Struthio camelus: one gene and its partner. The protein of the gene in region 2 purifies or fractionates together with the protein of the main gene of each other region. This does not show direct contact. Links are inferred from orthologs where the notes say so. Each region holds a gene or a part of one and is shown on either strand. Other genes may lie near its edges.

Region 1 (10,235 bases), on a different chromosome or scaffold from region 2:
TAAGCTTCCCATCTGGAACATTTCCAGTTTAAAACAATCTGCCACACAGATTCTCTAGGCAGTAAGCAGCTGCACTGGGAATTTTTTTAGTACCACAGACTGCAGAATTCACACAGCCAGAACAGCAGGAAAGTACAAGTTAATGACTTGAGACTAACCCATATAGACAAGAGATTAAAGCAGCAAATCCTAAATACTCCTGCAAGCTGGGGGTTGATTTGGAGGAAAAGAAGAAATAGGTGGTGTTCACCCAAGCAGTACCCATAGTAAATGCTCCATCCACATGATTCACCAAAATAAGACACTGCTTTCCAAAGCACATCTGTTAAAAGAAGGCTGTCCTATGTTCTCTGAGTTATAGCATCTCTTTACCTACTGTTCAGCTTCAGAGCTGTTCAGTGGGCTGTATTTGGATCCACCTGCTTGGTTAGGAGGAAAAACAATGGGCATCTTCCAGAAGCCACAGATTGGAGGTGATTTTCACAGTTAATTGAGCATGTCTGGGTCTGTTTTTTCCCTTCTTCCATGAGGAATGAAAGAGGGTACATTTTCATGAAACGCTAAATCCAATCTAACCTTGTGCAATGCCAGGTGTAGTGATCACCACATATCAGCTTACTGGTCTGAGCCCTCAAAGTGCGTACAGAAGCACTCCATGTATAATGATTTATTAATTAGATCAACTACCTGTCCAATGACTTGCAGCAACCAAGAAAAACTCACACTTCTGAGCAGGATCCGGGCTTGTGGGAGTGCAGAAATGTGGGATGAGCAGACTGGTGTCTGGGCAGTGGAGCAGCACCAAGCTGACCCGATGCCGCTTGACAGGGCAATGGCAAACACCAGGCCAGGCTTGGTGACCCCAGAGCCATCACAAGGGCATCACTGCCCGGTGTAAAAGGGAATAAAGCATTGGTGGAGGCTGGGCAAGAGAAAGGACTAAGCAGCACCTGAGGAGCCCACCAGTCAAGGGAAGGTTGGTAGATGGTGCAGCAGACGATGACTCACGCAGAGGAGAGCAGGGTTAGGCAACAGCCACCATTTTGGCAAGAGAGAGCAGGAACTGGGAGAAAAATCTTTGCTTCTTCTCACACTGCAAACCCTGCAGCAGGGGCGAGCTGTTACTAGTGCCTTTTCTGGCAAGAGGGGGCACAAATCCAAACCTGCACCGCTGGACATGTTTGTAGGATTTGGGCAGGACATTTGTCACGCCAAAAGGATGAGGTGGGCAGCCAAGGAAGGGCTGAGGCTGAGGCAAGAAGTGGGCACCGAAGAAGGGAGTTTGGGCTGACTGGAGCATGACTGGACGAGAGGGAGCGAATGCAGGCAGCCTGCAGGAGAAGACCTCCTGAAGCAGCCTTGCAGCCACCAGGGCTGGGGTTAAACATCATGAGAGAGGCTCCATTTCCTGGGCAGACCTGTGGCCATGGTGAAGTCCTGAACTGCTTCCCAGTGCCACACAAAAATACTATTTCATTTGAAAAATATTTGAACATTATATTGAAATAACCAGCTCCACGCTCAGAGAAACGCTACACAAATCCTTACAGTGCCTAAACGGTAATGGTGTGAGGCCCAGACTGCGTCTTACACGAGTGGTACCAGGATTCCCACATCTGATAAAGGCTGTTATGGTTGTACCAGTACAATTCTGGCAGTGAAAGCCACAGTGTGGCTGCACTGGCAGTGGTTAAAACCAAAACACTTGTACAGGTAGATGCAATCTGCTTCCCTGAGTTGGGACAAGCCTCGCTCTGCTCTGCCTTTATTCAATCAGTCCAGAGGATTTAAAGCATCCCCAACCCTCTATGGCTTTTATGCTTAGAGTAAGACTTTTATGTGTCAAAAAGGCCTCGTGTGCCAAATCTGAGAGCATTACTGAGGTGAAATCACATCGCTTAGGCAAGCACCAGCTGCTCCTGGGCAGTTACCACTGCCCCAGGAAGGAATCAGCTTTCTAAACCCGCCTTTGAACAGTTATTCATCTGCCCAAGGGCGGTAGGTGTGGTATGGGGAAAGTCTGACCAAGCTTTGCTGAGGCCAGCGGGAGTCGAACTGACCTGGAGTGGGATGCGGATCGGGCCTTGGGTCGGGCCACCAGGAGCCCAGAAAAGCCATGGCCCCTGTGCACCCGTGCCCTGCCGTGCAACAGGGAGCTCAACCAGCGCAGGAGGGAACCCACAGTAATAAACTGCTTTCGCTGCTTCCAAACACCTCAGCTTGACGGCTGCATTTAATCACCCTCTGTAGCTCTTTATTGCCTTTCTTGTGAACATTCTCCTTTAATTAACCCAAAAGGTGACTAATGAGCTCATTGTTAATGCAGTCATTCAAAAAGCTCTATTTGTTGCTAGTCTTAAAGAGTTTCTTAAAAGAATGCAATCTCAGCCAACTGGCACAGGGTAGGATCACAAGTTAATTACATGATCTCATGGTAGTTATCTTGAACTAATGCATCATTAACCTGATCTTACTGCAGCTAAAGGACAAGTCCAGAGCCAAGAAGCACTTTAAGGCTCCACAGTTCCCAGGATAGGAGCCTTTTTTATAAAAGCTGCAAGTTTGCAAATAGCGTGTGCGTTTCAGGCCAGGCTGCGCGTTGCCCTGCGGAGCCCTATCTCTCCCCTCGCCTCCGCAAAGAGAAACCGTTCGGGAGCCATGAAACACCCGACCTGCTCAGAAGAGAGCCCGTCCCAGAGCAGCAGCTGCCGTGCCTCTGCCTTTGCTGCGGGCGGTAGGAGCGGGGCAGGGGCACGCGTGCCCGGCGTGCGGCGCCCGGCAGGCAGCGCGCGGCGGCCGCGGCGGCTCGCCAGCGCCAGGCAGACCCCGCCGCTCTCGCTCCCAGCACGGCTCGGGGACCCTGACGTCCTGCATTTTGGATAAACCCTAAATGTGACAAAGCCTCTTGGGAGAAACTGTCCCAATCTGGGAGCGGGGGAAATACTGCAGGTAGAAAGTTTCAAGTGCTGATGGGGGACAGGAGCTAGAAGCTCCTTTTGGATAGAAAATAAAGGTGAAAGGCAAATAAATAAATACATGCCTATTTACTTATCATGATTTCATTTGAAATAATTTGTCCCTAGCTAGGCACACACATCTATATAGATATCCAGGAACTGAAATGAAAGCTTTAAAAGCTCTATAAATATTAGCTTTAATTTCAACCAAATTCAAGCTCCTACTCTACCTCACAAACCTGCCTAAGGAATTGCAGAAGCAGGAAGACCCGATGAAGCAGCCTCACAGCATTGCTGCTACTGACCACAGCTTTTGTAAAAAGTTACATGAGATTCTAGGTATTCATATCAACCACGCAAAGACTAGATTTGGGGTAGTTTTAAGAAAGAGCCTTAAGATCCGTAAGAGTCTCCAAGTTACTGCATGGAATAATAAAATTGCTGTTACCTCTTACTCGTCCACTTTCTTCCAAAATTAGCAAATTAAATTGTAATATAATTATCCAAATGTTCAAACACTTAAAGTAAAGTCTGTGTCTTTTTTTGTATCTTTGACAGAGTCGTCTATGTCGAACACCACAACGTCTGATTCTTACTGGTTATCTTCATAGGCAAGTAGATGCCAGGTTATTTTACCATTAATAATCACTTATCTAGTTAGCAGATGATCATTGCTTGCTCCGTGCTATTCTTATCATCTTTCAGAAAGCACAGGATTGCTTTTTTTTTTTTTTTTTTTGTCTTCATGGTAGGAAGTGTTCCAGCTTTAGTCTGGACAAGATCTTTCAAAAAACAGTAAAATACAAAGAGTAAATCTTACCTCACAAAATGCCCGTGATTTCTCTGGCAACAAAGACTGACTGTGCCTCGGTACTGTAAGACCAAAGATTATTCCTTCTCAGGAAGATATTTGTCCTTCACTGGGTAAGGACTCCACAAAAACTATGCAGCCATTGCCTGGACTTGCTTTGGTTTGTGTAGGTAAGTCACTGGAATTCAACTGTTCTTGTGTGTTCAAAGAGCTTCAAAATGCTCTCAACCACCTATCAGCATTATGATTCCCACGAGTATGTGAAGTATGCATTTGTCTTCCTGAGTCATATAATTATCTTTGGGAAAGTAAGCCACAGAAGTGCAGTGGAGAGAGAAAAGAAAAAAAAAAAAAGCAACAGGCTATTTATATTCCTAGAAGGTACGCAGTGCACTGTGAGGAGTTCACATCCAACAGCTGTAAACGGACTACATTGTTTCAGGGACATTTCTAATTCATATGTCCCCAAAGATAAAATCTAAAGGAGAGGCTGAGTTGTCTGCTTTAGTGCTGGCATTTTCCAGTGGTTTCAAGAGGCATGTGCAGTAAACGTTTAAGAGCAACAGTGATACATTTCGAAAAGCACCCAAAGCACTAGAAAAGCTGATCTGAAGCTCAGTGGATTGCACAGGTTATGGGACAGTCTCTGACTGAGAGGAAAGACGAAGTGAAGTAGTCCCTGATGACTATCTGTAATTGGAGGCTGAGTCATCAGCGGTACAGATTTAAAAAACAATGTTATACTGCAGTGTCTGGGCTAGTTACATCTTGATAAGGATGACAAGTGTCTTCCTGGAGTTTCTCTTGAGTCAAAACCACCTGGGAAAAAGTGACACCAGCAAATGGATTTCTGCTATGATCAAGTCATAGCAGATAGTCTTGGAAGAGGAAGGAAATACTATGAGAGAGTGGGATACCATGCAGGTGAGCTTCCCAGAAAACCTCCTTGTGCCCAGTATAGGTGAGGAAAGAAGGCTGAGAATGGAGACCAAGCAATCCAAGGAGGTCCTTGGTTACACCATCTTCTTGCAAAGGAAAGAAATGTGCTAATCTGCTACGGTGAGGGAATGGCTGCAGCAAACGTTCACACAGTGCAACATTTTGTTAGATCTGCATTTTTTCCAGATGTTTTATATAAAGGACTTCTCAGGAGTGAAACTTCAGTTTGCCCTAATTTATGCATGAAAACATGCATGAACAGCCTGTTCATCCGAGCATAGGAAGTCCAGCACCTTTGATCAGTAAATTAGATCCACAATTCCATTCCTTTGCAGGTGCACCGAGACCTAGCTAAACCTCTTATTGGTGAGACAGATGCAACTGGATCTTCATTTTTGCTCCATCTCCCAAAAGATAAACTCCATCCGTCTTCATTCTTGACAGCTCGTGATACAGAGGAGGTGATTTCAAAATTATGAGCTCAGACGTGAAAACCTTTCAGCCATTAGGTTAAATAAAAAACCTCATATTTGGGAGTCAAACAGCTCCTGCTTCCTGGGCCGCAGGAGCTTTAAACATTCCTGTGCAGTGAATGGGAAAGAGAAATGTTCTGTGAAGGCTTTGTGCCAACTCTCCCTTCGGTGGCCTTTGCTCTTCTCCAGCTGTAACTCAATTTTGTCACATCCTCCTGGCTTTAAGCATGGCTCTTGACTCTCATCTTGCGTTCTCACACCTGTGAACTGGCCAGCATTGCCTACTGCCTCTGGCAGTATCTATCTGTGCTTGGCACCCCAATATAGCGTTAGCACAGCATTGACAGGTTACGACGCTGCCAGGCACGAGGCTGTTTGCAGGCTGCCCACGCTGCAGATGTGTATTTGGGAAGCAAGTGGATCTGGGGAGTACCAGGCACCCCCCAAGTTGCAAACACCTCAAGTTCCCAGACCTTCTCTGTAGACATATCTCAACCCTGATCATAAAGGAAGAAGTGTCCGAGCAACAGAGACATTTCTGTGCCCAGTGAGGTGCCAACTAGTGTCAGCTGAGATGGCACCCGGTGTCTGGTGCTGTGAAAGATCTGGGCTCTGCACAGGCAGGGAAATGACAGGATGAGTTGACTCCAATCTGATGTTCAGGCTTGCTGCCACAGCTGCAGCAGGAAACAGCCTCAGCCCTGAATCCATTTAGCACATTATTATTTCCATTCCACCTTGTGAGTTAACAGATATCGCCAGGAACTGTCAATTTTAGCAAAGATCTAGCGAGGTGTTCCTCATTACAAGGAAAACCCCACCAACAGATCAACTGAACAGCAAAGCAGGCCAGAGTGTCAGTGTAGGAAATGTCATACACTGATGCTTTTGTCCCCAGTTTTCCCCTCAAATTAATATGTTTCTCCAGCAACTTCTAAATTTTCCAGGTAGGTAACAGGAGAGTGGCAAGGACTAGAATAAGGAAGGGAGAGGGATCACAGAATCACAGAGTGGTTGAATTTGGAAGGGGCCTCTGAAAATCAATTAGCTCAACCCCCTGAGAAAGAGATTTGTGTGTGACTAGCGGCCTGAATTTTAAACTATGGGTGAAATCCTGATGTCTTCACTTCCAGAGTGCCCTGCTAGTCTGAGAGTTGAGAGGAGCACTGGCTGATGCCCTGAGGCTGCCCTCAAGTCCAGGCCTGCCTATCACAGCCTACGAACCCACAGAAGCAGATTCAGGCAGATACAGAGGTCTTCCCCTGAACTCACGGGCACTGGGTGGCAACGACATGCCTAGAGGAGCAGGGATGTCCCTATGCAGCCGGGCAGAAGGGCTGCAGACTAGGCTAGGAGAAGTCACAGCACAATTTGGCACCAAAAAAGGGAATACGTTACAAGGAGTTGGCTGCAGAAACATGATATAATGGAAATGTTTTAGTGCGTGTTGGCTCTCAGTGGATCTAGATCCAAATCCAGACCTTCCCCTGGTGCTTAGTGCTGAGACTTTGACTCTATCCTGGGAGACCCTAGAAGAAACCATGTAGTTTGGATAGAAATCAAGTTTCAAATGTCCCTGCAGTTCAGTATTTGTAGTGGAGGTTTCGGATTAAGCTTGTTTAAAAAAATCACGCGTAGCAGACTTGTAATTACAGAGACACAGAGTCCTGACAGCTTTTCCAGGCCTGCTAACATAGGGCACGCACTAACTCTTCTCCTAAGCATGTCTGTGCGGAGCTGCAATCACTCAGCCTGCTGTACAGGCACATTTGTTCCTACACAAACAACAAGGTGAGCCAAAACCATCTTTATAAAGGTGAACAGCAGATGTTGCGTAATTCACATAGTTCCACGACTTTTACACAAGTGAGTCATTAACTCCCCACCAGATTTACAACCGGCTGCACAAATCTGCCTTGCAGACAAATGAAGAACAACGTTGCAGTCCAAATCAAACTCGACCTTTTCCCGCTTTGGATCGCAGCATCAGAAAGAGCAAGATGGTGATGAACATTAAGTTGTTTAGCGGCATATCTGCTGTGGAAGAATTCCTCCAAGAAGGGGAGGTCTCTCTCCTCTATCTCCACACCACGTTGGCTTTACTCAAAGCTTTACGGGGACAGCGACTCCCACTGGGTGTCACCAGCCTCCCTGTCCCTTTCCTAACCACAGCGCCTGAGCCGAGGGGGACTTCTCCAGGGTTGAGTGATGTTTTTTCTGCTCCCTCTCCCAGTGCAAAGAGCACATTGTCCTGGCCAGTGCGATAATCTCAGAGGCTGCTATAAGCTGCCAAGGTTTTAGCACAGCTGCAGAGCCTCATGGCTCTGACCTGGTTTATCCCTCCACAGGGCATTGGGTGCTCCCTGCCGGCCTTATGCTTCTCCCCAGTCAGTAGCACTGGCAGCGTTATCTGAACTGATCAAGGGAAAGGAGGGAAAGGTCATTTGTGGGAAGACGGAAATAAGTCACAGGCAGTGGGGGAAGTCTTAAATTACTTGTAGGGGAGAATGAGGATGGCAGCTCTTGGGTTACTAGGCAGGGAGGAGGTGGGAAGGGGAAGGACAAGAGGACATGGAGCTGCAGGGTCCACGGGAAGATGAGGCACGTGCAAGAGGAGGGTCTACGGCTGGCGTCCCCCAGCACGGCACCACTACCTGGGCTGCCCCATGCCTCAGGCTCTCAGGGCAAGAAACCTGCCCTTCCTTGTAAGTTGGCTGTGAAACATCAGGGCTTGCCTCCCTGAGAGCCAGTAAACACTGGCCCAGCCTGGACACCATAGCTATCATGACATCGCGTGGCTCTCCTGGGTCAGTACTGGCGGGGGATCCTGGTGGCAACAGGGCTGGGCCTCGCTGCCAGGGCAGTCCCACCAGCCGAGAGGGAGAAGGGCACTGGGGGCAGCCAGGGCAACCCCAGCCCTGGCATCGGACCCTGTTTCAGGGACAGGGATGGACTGAGGCCAGGCCAGGTGGTCATCTGTGGGTCAGGGTCAGGATCAGACCTGTAGCTAGGCAGGGGCAGGGCTGGACCCAGCACTGCTGCATTGTCATGGGACAGGGACTGATGTCCCCAGGCTGGGCAGGGTGGAGAGAAGATGCTCAGGACAATTATGGCCCATTGCTGCCCTCAGGACCCTGACATGAGGCTGGGGGGTCTTGAACCACATCCTGGTCCTGCTCCTGGGTGCAACTCTTGTACAGTTACCTCTAGCTCCTGCCTCTGTCAGCCCCAGGACCGATCTGCTTCTGGGAGCACATGTTAAACTAACTGTGAAACCCAGACTGCATATCTCTGGCTGCCTTTTGCCTGAAAGTATTTGCTCTACAGAGAGAGGTGTGAGAGGTGCCCTTTGTGTATTAATTAGGTTAATCTTGTTTTCAAGACTTCTGCATCTCAATCACAATAATTTCTTCCCTGGTGAAACTCAAGAGCAGGCTGAGGAAGCTTCTTTACTCGAAAAAATAAGAAATTGTTTGATGCAATGGCAGTGAGTTAGGGTAGGATCTTAGCTGGCAAATGGGAACTGTTAGAGCCTTTTGTTAAAGTCATATTATTTTTCACTGGAGTGAGTTAGAAATAAAACATATATAATGCTCTCTTTGGAGGACTGAAGTCAGAGGAGAACTTCTTCAGAGGAAGCTGCTGTGGGGAATGTCATTATTTGCTAAACAAAATTAGAGCTCCTGAGGAAGAAAAGGGAAGGTAAACGGTATCTTGTCAAATGCTTTTCCAAGAGTCACGCAAGAGCCAGAAAAGATTTAGCAAAATGATGATCATGCTGGCTATTGTGAGAGTGAGTGAGTTATATATCAAAAACAGATGTGCTCTTTGGCCCACGTAAAGGATGCAGCACGTCTTGTCCTCCCCCCGCACCTGGCTGGCATAGCTGGCTCATACACTGGCGTACGGGACCCCAGACTTGGTCTGGCTCCTAACCCTTCCTCCTTCACTTCAAGGTGAGCCCTGTGCCACTGCTCCACATACCGAGCCCTTTGGCACACCCACGCAGAGCTCTGACCTTCCCAAGTCCTAGATGTTTCACCATCCAAGGGCAAGCCTGCGCAGGCCCACAGCAGCTCACCTTCCACCTGATGGGTCTCTCCCCAGGCTAAAGGAGTGTCGCTTTAGGTGCTTTCCAGAGTCCCAGCCTCTATCAGTAAAACATACCCACACATCAAGCTCCTCTGCTCCTAAAGTTTCTGTCTGGATGGTGCCAGTGATTGAGAAGACCTATCTGATACTCTAGTATCGGGGACCCCGCAGGGACCTGACTCTGTGATCCTGGAGCCATGATCTGTGCAATTATCTACCCGGCCTTGTGGCACAAATGTCAAAAAAAAAATGCACAAACGACTTCTCCTTGATGATTTTGTATGGGTCACACATAAAGCTAACTGGAAAGACAAGAAGATTTAAAATGCCTCGTCTTTCTTGGGTAGGCTGGGATATTTAAAGAACCGGCCAAGTAGGTTCATGAAACGACAGTAAAATGCAGCCTTGCTCGTGTCCATCACACAAAATGGAGTGTGAATGCCTTGCTGTCATGACAGGGAAAAGAGAAAAAAATTTCCTTTTTCCTTTCTCTAAGAAGAGAAATAAGTCTCTTTATGCTCCAAGAGTTTGGTGATGATTTATACGGATGTGATCTATGTTCCCTTCAGGGAGGGGAGAGGAGAGAAGAGAGGGAAAAGCAGAAATACAGTCAGTCATGACACAGACTTAATGTCTTGGCAGTGGGGTCAAAGAAATGCAGCTGTTAGCTGCTTTCTCCCTTTCGCCTCCTGGCTGCTCATCCTTCCCTGCAAATTAGGCAGTGAGACTGCTCGTGGCTAAGTATTGGTCATCTCCCTCCCAGCGTCTTCTGCAGGTCCCTCCTCTCAGAGTAGGAGGATTTTGAGTCATCTGGGGCTGAGTCCTGCCTAACCCAGGTTCTCATGTGCCCACTGACATGAGGGAGAGCTGAGGTTGTTCAGCCCCACAGAAAATCACTCCCGTCCTGCAACAGGGGCGAAAACACCCATTTCCTCTACCAAATGGCGGGGACAGGAAAGCTTC
Region 2 (9,658 bases):
ACTAACCTTTGCCTTTTAATTTTGGGGCAGGGACCAGACTGAAGTCAAAACCACCCCAATTTCCTGCACCAGCTCTCACTCAGAAACTTCCATTTGTCATCAGTACTATGGAGGGGGTTACAGAGAAACAGCCTTCAGGAAAGGTGCTGTAGCCCCAAAGATGGAGAGCTACAAGCCCAGCTGCAGCTGTCACAGCAAGAAAGGGGCAGAGACACACGAGAACGAGACTGGAGCTCTCCCATCTAGCAGGCAGCTTGGGTTTTAGGAAAAAAAAAAAAAAAAAAAACACCACCCTCAACACACACGAGGAGAAAACTTGACCACAGCAGCTCCTATGGAAATCAGATCCTGGTAGAGGAAGAGCATGCAAAAAAGCTTTGGAAGATCCAGACCCAGAATACCATGAGGTTAAGCTATGCCAGAGATGACGGAGAGCAGACCACCTTGTCTGGAAGGGGCGCCAGCAAAACTAGATTGCCACCTCGAATTGTGCAAGTGTGGGGCTCACCAACTTGTTTTGGTTGGGGCCACGAGCGATGGCACAAGGTTCCACCAGAAAGCAGCAGCTGAAGAGGAAACCATTGACAACGGCACCCTGCAGCAGTATCAAACCCCTCGCGGTTCCAGTACCATGCTCCGGCAAGCTCTGATGTACGCTACTGCCGCTTAAAACAACTTCCTGAATTGTTCCTTGGGCAGCACCCAGTGTGTCGCTGTGTTCATCGCAGAGTATCAACTCCCAACTCCTTTTGGGAAGTTTTCGCCTGCACTGCCCTCCCCTCCGAGCACAGGGAGCCGACGGACTGCATGAGCCATTTGCAGGTGTCCTTGGAAAGGTGGAGCTGCTGGGGACTGGTTTAACAGAGCAGTATTAAGAGCCATGCAAATGTGTATCACTCCTCGAGATGCTATCAATTAATTAGTTGCTGCGCTCAGGCAGCTGTAATGGAAGCAACAAAGAAGAAGACACCAACCTCGCACCTTCAAGATTTCCCCAAACAAATTATGAATCTTTAAAGTGAAACCCCAGCTGTGATTATTAAGTTCCATCACAGCATTACAAAGATTAAGATCTCATTTCTGCGCATTACTGCGGATTTAGACTCAATTTAGGGACATTATTTGCAGAACAGACAGATGCAAAGCAGGTTTAATCTCCTGAAATGCACAGCTGGGGATTCCTACAGAACAGATTTAAAAATGAGCACATTAAAAAAAACGTGCTGAGCAGAGTGGGTGAGCTTAAGCCACCCGTTGTACTTCCCGCCGTGAGGGAGCCAGTTATTGATTACTGCTTCTTCAGCCACACTGGCTCAACTGTTTCCACCAAGCCCTGGGCACCCTTAATGGCCTGGGCCTCCACTGGCATGTCCTCAAGTTGTTAACAATATCACAGGGCTGGGAAGCCCAACTGATGAAAACACACAGTAGAAAGCTGTGGAACAAAATATATATTTAAAAAAACAAACAGTCATACTAACGCTGCACAGAAAGGCAGGAGCGGAAGGGCAGTCACAGCAGCGGCTGCCTCCGCTGTTCAGAGGAAGGACAAAGATCCTAGGAGGTGGAGGGGATCAGGGACACGAGACACCAGCGAGGAAGGGTGACACAAATTGGCCAGCTCTGCCTGTAGCAGAGCCTCTCCCCACCGAGGCATGGCAGCCCCAGCACCAGGAGGGTTGCCGTGTTTATTATGGGTCCTGCGGCTGGAGGTGAACCAGAGGCACAGCTCCTGTTCCAAGGGACCTGCAGCCTTGGGGAGGAACTGCCAGCCCCTTGTTGCCTGCTGGCTTCATCCCGCTGTGGGGCCAGGAGATGACTGGAGAGCGGCAGCAAGGATGGGGACAAGCACATGGAGGAACAGCCTGGAAGCAGCAGCGATCCCCTCTGTCTTCCGCCCAGCCAGGCTCGCTGGGAGAGGATGGCTCATCGGCGATCCCCGACTCCTCCTCGGCACGTTTGGACAGGGTGGCTGCAGACCAAGCGAGTAGACACGCAGCTCGACTAGAACTCCCACCTCACCTGCACCAGACACAGCGCGAAACAGCCCCGTGACCTCCCCGCTTTGCTCCAATTTTCCCCAGGTCGAGCGCTCCTCTGCGCTGAGGGATGACAGCCAAAGTCCCACTGCGTCCTTCACCAGGGGAGCAGAGCAGCATCCCTCCCACAGACTCTCAGTCCTTCCTGTGCACAGAGAAGCCCATCGGCAGTAACAAGCTTTTTGGGCAGGAACCTCCCTGACAGGCTTTTCTTCAGATGCACGAGTTGCACATTTGAACCCAACCCGAGCGCGCTGCGTTCCCCTGTCAGAAATACCTGAAGCCCAACATGAAAGGACAAGTGGCCATACTATTAAAAAAGAAGTACGTCCTTTTCTTTATCATTGGCAGCCTCAGGAAAGGAGGCACGAGGCAAGCCAGGACGCTTCACCTCTCCTGGCAGAGTGATGGTGGGAACCTCACGCCACTGTGGGTGAAAACAAATCCTTAATCTCTGGGAATGGGAGGAAGCTCCGCAGAGCTGACAACACATTTCATCAGCAAGAAAGCTTACAAGGGCAAATACCTTTTCGGTTTATGGGCACTGGAATTGCAGCAAAATTTGGATCAGATGAAGAACCTTTCTTTTTAAACTAGTTTATGTTTTAATCTGGGTAGAGTTGGCTTTCAGTCATTAAGCGCCCAACTTAGAAGCCCAGCTGATCATGTAAAAACAGTGATTACAAATTAGGCTCTTAGGAGCTGATATCAGCCCCCAAGGGAAGAGTGCCAAGGAATTATCAAGGGCCAGAAAAAGAAGGTATCAAAGAAAAAGATAAACAGATGAGAAGTGAAGATCAGAACATGATCTTGTGCCTTTGCAAACACATTTCATCCAGCGGATGGAACGGGCAAGTCATATAGCATTTGAAAATTTTGTTTTCCTGAGTGTTTTAAGTTGAATCCCTATAGATTTAAGCCTTGGCACCCAATATAACTCAAGCTCTAGTCTCCTCATGAGGCCTGCTGATCAGCAAGCAGCTTAGTTACAACAGTAAAGTAAATCCGAGATACAAATGGTCTATTTTCCTTCTCTCATACCTCTCCAAAAAGTTATCTTTGTGGACTTACACTTTTCGTGCCTGCTCTCAGCTAGGCTATAACGTACGGAAAGCACGAAAGCACGCAGACGCAGGGGCTCACCTTCCCTTTAGGCCAGGGTAAGGCAGCGGCGCGGGGCACTGAGCAGCAGCTTCCCCACTCTTAGTGACAGCCCGCCGCTGGGTTTGCGCCTGCTTCTGCTCCCTGCGTGCGGGGAAAGCCCAGACGGCAGCCGCCGGCGCGGCGGGAGAGGCGGCGGGCTGGCAGCCCGCTCCCAGCAGCGAGCCGCAGCCTCCGGCTTTCGCAGGGTCTCCTGCGGCCCCGCAGCCCGGGCCGCCCCGGGGGTGGAACCGCTGCCGCCGGGGCCGCGGCTCCGCGCTGGAGGCGACGGGAGGGAGCGGAGGCTCCAGCGGGGCCCGCAAACCCCTCGGCCCCGACGGCGCGGACCGCGGGCCCGGAGCGGGCGGCAGGGCCCTCCCGGAGGCGACGGCCCCCAAAAAGGAGCGGCGAGAGGTGGCGCGGGGGCGAGAGGGGGGCTAACGAGGGGGAGGAAAATCCCCAAACGGGCAACGCCAGCCCTGCCCGGCGGCGGTCCCCCCCCTCCCCGGGGGGTGTCGCCATGGCCCCGGGGGGGGGGGGGCGCCGCGGGCACAGGGGGCGGCGGCGGGGGGGGGGGGGGGGGGGGGCCGGTACCTCGCAGCTGAACTCCATCTCGGCGTCCATGGTGACGATGCGCACCGTGAAGGTCTTGGGCTGCTTCCTCTTCAGCGAGCTGAAGCTCATGCGGGAGGCGATGGCCCCGGCCATGACGGCGGCCGGGACAGGCAGGGCGCGGCCGCTCAGCGCTGCGGGCCGCGGCGCCGGGGCAGGGGCCGGGGCAAGGGCAGGGCCATGGCGGCGGCGGCGGGCGGGCGGGTGGGCCCGGGGGCGCCCGGGGGCCGCGCAGCGCCGGGCCGGGCCGCGGCGGAGCCTGCTGCCCGCGGCGCACCCTAGCCGCGGCGCTCCGCCATTGGCCCCGCGCGCAGGGTTGTCCCGCCCCGTAGCCACGGGTCGCGCTGGAGCAGCCGCCAATAGGAAACTTGCGCGCGCCCCGCCATGGTCTTTGCTTGCGAGGGACGGAGCAGCGGCTGCTGTGATTGGACGGGGCTGCCGCCACTCACAGGGAAGAGGCGGGCTTACTAGAGCCCCGCGCATCTGCCCCGCAGGTTGGGTTGAGAGGCAGGGCGGCCGATGGGCGCTGCGCGGGCGCCCCCTGGCGTCGAGGGGGACCAGGCGCTCCCCGGCGCAGGTCGAGCCCCAACGTCGGCGCGGCCTCTGTGCGCATGCGTACGAGGTGGAGGGCGGTTTTTTTTTTTTTTGGGGGGGGGGGGGGGATGTGCAACGGGCTCTAGGACCGTGCGGTGATTCCCGCCCCGGGATCCTGCCCCGGGATCTGCGTGCGCCCCCTGCCCCAGGATCCTCTACTGGGATCCTGCTGTGGGATCCTGCCCCAGGACATGCCCCGGCATTCTACCCTGGGACTGGCACTGGGATCCAGCCCCGGGATCTGCCCCGGGATCCTGTACCAGGATCTGCACGGGGACCCTGCATCTGGATCCTGCACAAGACCTGTCCTGGGATCCTGCCCCAGGATCTGCCCAGGGACCTGTCCTAGGATTCTGCCCTGGGAACTACCCTGGGATCCTATAGCAAGACCTGCACTGGGATCCTGCTGTGGAATCCTGCCCTGGTACCTGTCCCAGGATCCGGCATCAGTGATCTGCCCTAGCATCTGCCCCGGGATACTGCCCTGGGATCTTGCCTCAGGACCTTCCCTGGGATCCTCGCTCAGGATCCTACAGTAGGATTTGCCCCGGGAACTGCCCTGAGATTTGCTCGAGGATCCTGCCCCGGGATCTGCCCCAGGACCTGCCCCGAGATCTTGCCCTGGATTCTTTCAGCAATACTTGCACTGGGACCTGCGCTGGCATCCTGCCCTGGGATACGTCCTGGGACCTGTACTGGGATCCTGCCTTGGGATTTGCCCCGTGACCTCACCTGGGATCCTGCACCAGGATCTGCCCCAGGATCCTGCACTGGCATCCTGCCATGAGACCTACCCTGGGATCCTGTCCTGGGACCTGCACTGTGATCCTGCACCAGGACTCTTCCCTGGGATCTGCATTGGGATCCTGTCCTGGGATCCAGCAGCAGGATCCTGTCCCGGGATCCAGCACTGGGATCCTACCCCGGGATCTGCCCCGAGACGTGCCCCAGAATGCTGCACAGGGATCCGCTCTGGGAGCGGTCACCGGGAGCCGCCGATCCCTCCCCACGGCTCCGGGCAGCGGGGCCGCTCGCGGGGACCCAGGCGTCCGGGAGGGAGCCGCAGCTCGGTGAGCGGCCACGGTGCCCTGCAAGCTGGGGGTGGGGAGGGACGCGGGGGACACGGAGGGAGAAGGGGGACAAGTGGGGAGCCAGGGGACAAGGCAGGACACAGGGGATATGGGGGTACATGAGGAATATGCGGGAACAGGGGGGACATGTGGGGACACAGAGGGCAGATGAAGATAGCAATGGGGCAGGAGGGGGCTATGGGGCAGGAGGGGATTATGGGGCCAGAGGGAGCTATGAGTCCCTTAGGTGAGCAGGGCCCCAGACATCACGGTCCCTGTAGGAATGGGGCCCGGACGCCTGGGTCCCTGTGGTGAGGGGGGACCCAGATGTATCGTACATGCCAATACTGGCCTCTATGAGCTCGTGTGAGCCTGTGCCAGGATCTATGGGCTCGTATGGGCCCATGCCGACCTTTATCAGCTCATGGGCTTGTGCTGGCTTCTACGGTCTCATATGGGCCCCTGTCGAACTCTCCAGGCTCCTACGCACCCACGCTGGGCTTATAGGCTTGAACGAGCTCGGCATGGCTGTGATCTCATACGGGCCTGTGCTGGCCTCTGCTGTCTTGCACGGGCCATTGCTAAGCTCTATGGGCTTGTATGGGCTTGTTCTGGCCTCTGTGGTCTCCTACCTGCCCATGCCAGGCTCCATGGTCTTGTACAGGCCTGTGCTCATCTCTACAGGCTTATATGGGCCCATGCTGGTCTCTACAGGCTCGTAGGAGCTTAAGCCAGCCTCTATGGGCCCATTTTCACTTGTGCCGTCCTCTATGGGCTCGTATGCACCCGTCCTGAGCTCTACAGGCTTGTAAGTACCCGTGCAGGGCCTCTATGGGATCGAACATAGCTGTACCCACCTCTACGGGCTCGTACGTGTCCGTACCGGCCTCTACAGGCTCGTACAGAATCACAGAATCACAGAATCGTTTAGGTTGGAAGGGACCTCTGGAGATCATCTAGTCCAACCTCCCTGCTCAAGCAGGGTCCTCTAGAGCATACGGATGCCTACTGGTCTCTAGGGGCTCGTGTGCACCCATGTCCGCCTCTACAGGGTCAGACAGGTCCGTACTGGCTTCCACAGACTCGTATATGTCCGTACCAGCTTCTACGGGCTCACGGGGGTTTGTGCCGGTCTCTACAGGCTCGTACATGCCCATGCATGCCTCTACAGCCTTATATGGCCTCATATGCATCCGTGCCAACTTCTACAGGCATATACAGGCCCGTGCAGGGCCTCTACACGATCATATGCACCGGTATGTGCTGACCTCTGCAGACTCATTCAGGTCCATTCTGGCCTCTATGGGCTTGTAAATATCTGTACCAGCCTCTACAGGCTTATATGGGTTTGTGCCAGACTCTATGGGCTTTTATGCACACATGCTGTCCTCTATAGCCTTGTACTGGCCCGTGCTGGGCCCTGCAAACTCGTACGCTCCAAAACCAGCTTCTGCAGGCTCATACGGGCCCGTGCAGGGCCTCTACAGGATTGTCTGCGGCCGTGCCTGCATCTGTGGGCTTATACAGGTCCGTACTGGCCTCTATGGGCTTGTACAAGCCTGTGCTGGCCTCTATGGGCTTGTACGGGACTGTGCCAACCTCTATGGGATCGTACACAGGCGTGCCCCGGCCTCTGTGGGCTTGTATGCGCCCATGCCGACCTCCACGGGTCATATGTGCTCATGCTGGCCTCTACAGGCGTGTACACATCCTTGCTGGCGTCTACGGGCTCATACGCACCTGTGCTGGCTTCCATGGGCTTGTATGGGCCCGTGCCATCTCTATGGGCTCATACAAACCCATTCCAGCCTCTGTGGGATCATACACGCCCGTGACGGCCTCTACAGCCTTGTATGAGCCTATGCTGGCTGATACTGGCTTGTGTCGGCTTGTTCTGGCCTCTATGGGCTCGTAGGCACCCGTGCCAGCCTCTGTGTTCTCATAGGCACCTGTGCCGGGCTCCCTGGCCTTGTGCAGGCCCATTCCAGCCTCTACAGGCTTGTATGTGCCTGTGCTGGTCTTTACAGGCTCATAGGGGCTTAAACCAGCCTCTACAAGCCCATTTGTGCCCATGCTGTCCTCTACAGGCTCGTATGCACCCATAGCGGGGGCTTGTAGGGGTCCCTACCAGACTCTACGGGCTTATATAGGCCCTTGTCAGGCTCTACAGGTTCATACGCATCCATGCCAGCCTCTAAAGGTTTGTAGGTGTGCATGCTGGCCTGTATGGGCTCATATGGGCTCATGCCAGTCTCTACGGGCTCAGGCTAGTCTCTGTGGGCTTTTATGCACCTGTGCTGACCTTTATGGGCTTGCAGGGGGTCTGTACCGGCCTTTACGGACTCATATGCACCCGTGCTGGTCTCTACAGGCTTGTAGGGGCTTGCACTGGCCTCTATGGGGTTTTATGTGCCAGCGTTGGCTGCTACGGGCTCATAGGCACCCGTGCTGGGCTCTATGGGCCCATACGCACCTGAGCCAGTCTCTTTGGGCTTGTATGGGCCCATGCACGGCCTCTACAGGATCGCTTATAGCCGTGCCCGCCTCTGCAGGCTCTTGCAGGTCTGTACCGGCCTCTATGGACTTGTACACATCCGTACTGGCCTGTACAGGCTCATACACACCCATGCCTGCCTCTGCCTGGATTATATTGTATGGGCCCATGCTGAGCTCTGTGGGCTTTTGCGGGCCTGCACCGAGCTCTATGGGCTTGTACGTGCCCTTGCCAAGCTTGTACAGGCCCCTGCCAGCCTCTGTGGGCTCATACTGACTCGCACCAAGCTCTACAGGCCTTGTCCTGACCCGTACCGGCCTCTACAGGCTCATACGGACCCGCACCAAGCTCTAGGGGCCTGCACGAGCCCTTTCCGAGCTCGAACAAGCTCACACCGGCACTTACAGGCTCATACGGGTCCATACTGGACTCCATGGCCTTCTCCAGGCCCTGGTCAAGCTCGTACAGGCCTGTCCCGGCAGGGGCCTCTATGGGCTTGTTGCGGGCCCACAGCAAGCTCTACGAGCCTTGTCCCAACCCCTGCCGGCACCTATGGGCTCCTATGAACCATCACCGAGCTCTATGGGCTCGTACGGGTCTGTGTCAGACTCAGCAGCCTTGTCCGGGCCTGTGCCAAGCTCGTCCAGGCCCATGTCAGCCTCTATGGGCTTGTATGGGCCCATGCCGGCCTCTGCGGGCTTGTCCGGACCCGTGCCAAGCTCTACAGGTCTGTATGAGCCCACTCCAGGTTCTATGACCTCATATGGGTCCGAACCAAGCTCTACAGGCTTGTATGGGCCTTTGCTCAGCTCATACGGGCCCACACCAGCCTCTGCAGGCTCGTACAGGCCCGCACTGAGCTCTACAGGCTTGTACAACCTTCGCTGAGCTTGACTGGGCCCATACTGGCCTCTATAGGCTCCTACAGGCCTGCACCGAGCTCTACGGGCTTGTCCGGGCCTGTACTGAGGTCGTAGGGCTTGTTCTGGCCTCTGCAGGCTTGTCTGGGCCCCTGCCAGCCTCTACAGGCGTGTACGGGCCCGCACCGAGCTCTACAGGCCTGTATGAGCCCACATCAAGGTTGTACAGGCCCGTGCTGGCCTCTGTGGGCTTCCCAGGGCCCCTACTGGCCTCTATGGTCTCGTATGGGCCCGCACTGAGCTCTATGGGCCTGTGTGGGCCCATACGAGCCCATAGAAACAGGCAGGGGACCGGAGAAGCCCGCAGAGGCTGGCACGGGCCCAGACAAGCCCTGGCAGAGTCTGACATGGGTCTGTACACACTCGGCAAGGGCTCGAACAAGCCTGTAGAGCTCAGTTTGGGCTCGTACGAGTCCACAAAGGCTGGCAGGGGCCCGGACAAGCCCACAGAGGCTGGCATGTACGGGCCCATGTACGTACGGGGTCAGCAAGGGCTCATACAAGCCCATAGAACTCAGTGGGGGCCTGTACAAGTCTGTAGAGTCCAGCATGGGCCTGTACCAACTTGAAATGGGCCCATACAGGCCCGTAAAGCTCGGTGTGGGCCCGTACAAGCCCATAGAGGCCAGCAGGGGCCCGTACTAGCCCACAGAGGCAGGCACAGGCCCGTACGACCTTGGCGCGTGCCTGTACAAGCCTGTAGAGGCCGGCACGGGCCCGTATGACATTGATGCGGGCCCATATGAGCCCGTAAAGGCCAGCAGGGGCCCAGACAAGCCTGCAGAGGCC

What was found.
Region 1: the proteins of NF2 (region 2) and AMOTL1 purify together in Homo sapiens (affinity purification with mass spectrometry; 6 studies listed by BioGRID and IntAct, counting the BioPlex papers as one, with this or other methods). This does not show direct contact. The link is inferred for Struthio camelus from reciprocal best matches to the Homo sapiens genes NF2 and AMOTL1.

Annotation. Positions count from the first base shown.
Region 1 is NC_090942.1:212,027,940-212,038,174, forward strand, and holds the start of AMOTL1 (angiomotin-like protein 1), read right to left. Parts: upstream 4,033-10,235; 5' UTR 3,778-4,032; intron 1-3,777. UniProt on the Homo sapiens protein: Inhibits the Wnt/beta-catenin signaling pathway, probably by recruiting CTNNB1 to recycling endosomes and hence preventing its translocation to the nucleus.
Region 2 is NC_090958.1:5,128,440-5,138,097, forward strand, and holds the start of NF2 (merlin), read right to left. Parts: upstream 4,008-9,658; 5' UTR 3,888-4,007; coding exon 3,774-3,887; intron 1-3,773. UniProt on the Homo sapiens protein: Probable regulator of the Hippo/SWH (Sav/Wts/Hpo) signaling pathway, a signaling pathway that plays a pivotal role in tumor suppression by restricting proliferation and promoting apoptosis.